2 linked regions of the Kluyveromyces lactis genome follow. The protein of the gene in region 1 binds, or shares a complex with, the protein of each later gene. Links are inferred from orthologs where the notes say so. Each region holds a gene or a part of one and is shown on either strand. Other genes may lie near its edges.

What was found.
Region 2: EMC2 (region 1) and EMC10 share a complex: the UniProt entries of both Saccharomyces cerevisiae proteins name them as parts of the ER membrane protein complex. The link is inferred for Kluyveromyces lactis from reciprocal best matches to the Saccharomyces cerevisiae genes EMC2 and EMC10.

What each region holds. Positions count from the first base shown.
Region 1 is NC_006041.1:552,991-556,118, forward strand, and holds EMC2 (Emc2p), read left to right. Parts: upstream 1-1,422; coding exon 1,423-2,283; downstream 2,284-3,128. Other genes in the region: TIF5 (translation initiation factor eIF5), read right to left, coding at 1-892; TIP41 (Tip41p), read right to left, coding at 2,437-3,128. UniProt on the Saccharomyces cerevisiae protein: Part of the endoplasmic reticulum membrane protein complex (EMC) that enables the energy-independent insertion into endoplasmic reticulum membranes of newly synthesized membrane proteins.
Region 2 is NC_006041.1:1,123,098-1,125,810, reverse strand, and holds EMC10 (Emc10p), read right to left. Parts: upstream 1,419-2,713; coding exon 846-1,418; downstream 1-845. Other genes in the region: hydroxyacyl-thioester dehydratase HTD2, read right to left, coding at 1-238; YOS9 (Yos9p), read left to right, coding at 1,691-2,713. UniProt on the Saccharomyces cerevisiae protein: Part of the endoplasmic reticulum membrane protein complex (EMC) that enables the energy-independent insertion into endoplasmic reticulum membranes of newly synthesized membrane proteins.

The sequences.
Region 1 (3,128 bases):
CCGATACGATATCTTCATCGAAAAGAACTTGGGCCAGAACTGCAGCAACCTTTGGATCTTCCAGAAGCTCGAGTTCTGCAATCTTTTTGTATAATTCAATATCGGTAGGTAGTTCTTCTTCATGTAGTACCCATTCACCAAATTCTTCCAACTTGGAGAATTCGCCAGTTTCTTTGTCAGCTTCACCTTGTAATTCTTTCGCACGAGCTCTGATGGCTTCTTCAGACATATCAACGGCCCAGTCCTCATCCTTGACTTCAATGGTAGCCAAGTTAGAGGCAGCGGCATTAATTTGTCTGGCCAATTCATCATCATCGGAATCGTTTTCTTCGGCATCGTCACCAGCTTCAGCTTGGGATTTACCTTGAGCGATATCACTAATAGAAAGACCACCACCTCTGACATTAGCAGACGCAGTGGCAGCCTTCTTCTTTTTCTTGGAACCGTTCATACTGTCAGGAGGGTTCTTTAAGACGAACGAGGACAACTTATGTCTCAAATCCATAGGGGTTCTCTTACCACAAGCTTTACAGTCTCTAACCAAATCACCATCTTTAGTGATAACAATTTCAGTTTCAGGATTCTTACAGGATCCACAAAGGACAAACTTAGTGATGAAACCATCCAATACGTCCTGTAATTTGGCTGGTTGATGAGCACCATTGACAATGTAACGATCATTTTCAACATTGATAGCAGTTTGGGCACCCAATTCAAACCCGAAATATTTGATGATGTATGGAGCTGGTCTGTTTAAAGCACGGGCAACATCCATGGTATTCATAACAACAGTTTTGATACCATTACCTCTACCTTCAATCTTAGCCTGAATTGGAGGCATTTTATAACGGTAGAAAGGGTCATTGTTGTCTCTGCAAATATTGATTGACATCTTCGGCTACTGTTACTAATCTCTAGTCACTTGTTTCTGCTACCACCGTGTCTTTGACGTTCTTCAAGTCTGGAAAACACAAAAACTTTTAAAAGTAAGTTCGAACTGATCCTGTATTGGACTGTAAAACGGGGTCATTAACGCCTTCTTGAATCATGTATATGGAAGAAGTTCATCTCATCTCTTAGAAGTTCAACTTCAACTCTTCGCGTGTGGCAATCAGATACTGAGGCCTTGATTCCTGAAAAATTTTCGTCGTTTATGGTGATATGAAAATACATGTCGAAACGGAGCATGTGTCACGTGCTTTAGCTCCAACGATTCATTTGGCTCTGTGATTGTTTAAGCATCGGTTCTGTAAGAGACATATTACAGGGTATAACATGGGTGAGATACGTATGGTGGTGTTAAATGTTTGAATACCTTCAATACAATTACTGCTCGTGGAATTTAGTGAGTAATTTACTGTGTTGAAATTGTGCTCGAATCTCACATACATCTTAGGGTCGAAATCTAACTTTGTTCATATCATGGATTTACTTAAGAACAAATTACTGGCAATCCATAAGACTGGCGCATGGGCCATTCTGCCACCTAAAGAAATTGATTTGGCTTATAAGGAAACGAAACTTTTGATAGATGCTGGGTTAAATGGGCTTGACGAAATTAGTTATTTCTCAATGGTCGAATTATTGTTTTATCTTTGTCTTGTTCGTGGTGAAGACACAGAGGCTGAAACATTGTACAAAACTGTGACAGATCGTCTAGGTGACGATTCTCCAAGAATTCATGTGATGCACTCTATGTTAATACAGGTCACTCGATCCGATGATGCGGCTAAGAAATATATCGAGGATTTGATCAAGAATCAGCTGGAAATAGCTACTGATTCAGAAGACTACGTACAGATGAAGAAAAGGCTACTTGCGATAGAGAGACCTTCGATGAGTAAAGAAAAATGGGTAAAAGAACTACTGGATCTGGTTGAGAAGTTTCCTCTAGATGCAGAAATATGGTCGTTACTTTCGCAAGAATACCAGGAGGCTGGGGACCTACGTCAAGCAATATATTGCATGGAAGAAGTCATAATTGGGGTGCCGTTCAGTTATGAAGCATTTGGTCAATTAGCTTATTTGCATTACTTGAAGTCTCAATCAGATTCTGACCCTGAAGCTGCTTTGCAATCAAGTTTATCAAATGCGTTGAGATCTGTTGAGTTGGCAGAAGCCTACGTGAAAGGTTGGGGTATTGTATTGAAGACATCTCAGAAACTGAATAAAAAACCTGAATTAACTCAATTAGCTGTAAGAAAATTGCAAGAACTTCAGCAAAATAATGATAACAGAGAAATCACTAACGTATCCAGATACCTTTTGGATTCAGAAACTTGAATAGTGTGTATATAATATTATCACATGTATTACGAGATTTGTATATTATTCCTTTTGGGTAACATAATTAAATAGGTAGATTCATGAATGAGCAAATCAACTCTTTCTTGAATTTTCCAAAAGTGCTGTCAATTCGACAGTAGCGGTGAGTGCTTATTCGACAACTTCTTCTATATCTTCTTTTTTCCTCAATACTTCACATACGCGCTCCTTCAAAGGTAATACAGACGCAACCCAGTTGCTGTCTCTCAAAGATTTCTTAGGATCGTTTGAATTTAATCTACATTTATTCAATACTGTCTTGTAATCATCCTCCATATATTTCCATTCCCGTACAACAAGGTCCTCATTGAATTCGACATATATTCTTGTATCAATGATTTTAAACAAGACCTCATCGACTCTTAGGAAGAATCTGCATAATAAAAGAAGTCTCTCTGCCATTACCCTAAGTTTTATCGAAAGCATACTGATACCGTTGTCTGCCAATTCATCTTCAAATAGAATGAAATCATCATAGAATAAAATGGGATCTCTTCTTGTTAATTTTTCTATTGGAAGCTGATACTGGTTATCCACAACAAACTTGTATTCACTATCTTCTGACACAGTCCCATTGTATAAAGTCGTATAGGACCAATCCCAATGTTTTCCGAATTGTAATCCTTCCTCTGTGTTTGTCACTTGACTATTCTTAAGTTTGGAATTGATCCATTTCTCGGAATATGACACTCTTAACCCAGAATCCCCAAGTTTTACTTGACTAAGTGCATGGAACGGATTGAATCGTATGCACCAATGAGTCTTGGTGTTCTTCAATTCAACGCTGGAATGACCAAAAATCA
Region 2 (2,713 bases), about 570 kb from region 1:
CCTGAACCCACATGCGACGCCGAAAGGGCACTTCACGTTTCAATATAGCACCAGGAGTCTGGTACGAGTAGTATCCGTCTTCGCTGAGGGCAGCTGTTACTGGATGGAAGAACAATAAATGTGAACCTGAAAGCGATATATCGTTTGATACTTTTGCTTTTGGCAAGATAGATGTAACCAAAGTCTGATACCTCTGTACCGTCACCGGATTGATGTAATCACTGATATGCCACTGCATTGCCGCGAAAACTAACAGCTATGTGGATATGGTTGGCTTTTAAGGATTCCCTTTTTTTTCTATACTGTTTGATGTGAGGTTTACGATTGAATGCCCAACAGTTTTAAATTCATTCATTACTTGTTTATGACGATATACAGGTAAATAAATTAAATAAGATGTGAAGTGGGATACAGTTCTATCGAGTTGGTAGTAAACACTACTGTGCATGATATCGTGAAGCTGATTGGCAGTCTAATTGACTGGAAAGTCAAGTGCAAAGTGAATTATCGTAACAGCAACTACAGTGTTACAGTGCAAATGAGAAAAGCATGATCGATTGTTGATAAGAAGTGAGTAATGGAGTTGCTTAGTTTCGATCCTTTTAAAAAGCCAACATTGGTAAATCTTTCACTTCAGTCTTTCCATCGAGCACTCAATTAATAAACTCAAGGCAAATTGCTCATCAAAATAATCCATGTCACTAATTGTAATACATTTCGTATTCGTAGAGTTAATTGAATGTTTCAACCACTCCTATCCTATCCAAGCAATAAAAGTCAGTCGTCTGGTCATTTCTTTGTCTTCTTGAACGTATATATACGTAGCAAGATGGTAAAACATGAAATTATTTCTGTGATCCACTGGATAAAAAGACATAGGCGAGTAGCCCTATGACAACGTACTTCCAGTTTTTCTGAAGAAACGTTTTGTTCTCTACAACATCTTCTTCAAATGCAGCGGTCCCTGTATCCTTTCTCTGAGCTTTTTTCTTTGCCTCGTAAGTCAGAGTTCTTTTCTTCAACTTGATACTTTCCGGTATGGGACCATTTCCAACCTCCTTTATCAGTGGTACGATGCCATCAATACTATCATCTGCATGAATCGACATACGAACTAGTTTATCATCAAGTACCACCAGCTCCAGTTCGTATGACAATGGTTGCTTTATATGGATGAAAGAGAAACACTCATCGTAATAATCTTGAAAAGTCCCACAAACTTTATATTCACCGTCTGTAATTCGATTGGCTGTCACAGCCAGGTTAATACCTACCTCATCACCAGCTTCGAAAGTTGCCAGGCTGTACCTTTCATTCAAATTGTTCAATAAGTAAAGATCACCAGTACCTTGTAGAGATGCCACTACCGCACGCAAGTGAAACAGAAGTATTAGTAACAATTGAATCATTTTTAGCATAGCTAATTATTTGAAGATAAATCCAACCAGTTTTCCGCTGTGTTATATGATGGAAACACCAGTCTATGCTGTGAGATTCATCCTTTTTATTATTACATTTATTCAGTTTAAGGTTTAAAATTGGATTAATTCGATTAATTGGATTCTTATATTACAAACGTTTAAGTTTACTTAGTGGAAAGTACAAAAATGATATACGGAGCTATTATTTGTTGGCGCATTGTTGTCAATTCGTCAGAGGTTGATTGTAGCTAGTGTATCTGCCGCCTTATATGATATTTTTACCAGTTACGTCGGTGGTGTTTGCTATCTCATGGATTTATTCAGGTGTCTCAGCATTCAATCCATATAGCTCTACGCCTTATTCGCTAAAATACGTTGATGAGCAAGAGTTCCTAAGTGTAATAGATAATGAGACATTGCTCCAAGAAGGACGGCTTTTCCGCCCCTACGAAGGGTCCGATGTTTTGTGTTACCAAAGGAACACTTCGTCGTTGATTCAACATCATGAAGAAGATACTTTTAATTCTGAAGGAGCTCTCATTGAAGCAGTTAACATGGTTAATGCGATCTTGGCTCCAAACCCTATTGAAATGAATACAGTGCCTATTTCTTACTGGACTTATATTATATCCTCTGGTGAGACGAGGACTGTTGTGCAAAAAGGTTATTTTGGCGAAACGTACCTTTTAGGGAACTCATCTAACTACAACTCAACTATTGATTATCACTTTGCTAAGAGTAAAACTGGTAGAGTGTATCTTAGCGAAACTTTGGTAGATGGTTGCACTTGTGATCTTACACATAAACCAAGAGAGGTAGAAATACAATACATCTGCCCTAAACGTCCACTATCGAGGCCTTTCCATCTTGAAGTTAGAGAAATACAATCCTGCAAGTACCAATTGAGACTGTTTCTACCACAGTTATGTGAACTTAGCTCATTCAATCCGTTGCTTGGTCAATTATCTGAACACAACATAATATGCCATAGAAGCGGCAGCAAATTGAGTCCTGCCCTTGATATATTCAACAGGTATTCGGCTACTGTACTTGATCATGGCATATACCTATTAAAACCTAAAAATAGTGCGAAGGATAGGCGTCAATTGATGTATCACGCTGCTGAACCACTGGATTCTCAAACTACCCTCTTTGAGCTCACAGTAGAAGAAAGGTTTATTGGAGACTTCATATCTAGTCTTAAGAAATTGATTGGTTCGGACTTTATACAATCACCCACCGGGAAATCGATCAAACCTGGTGATCTATTTCTATGGAGAGCGCCTGTAGTA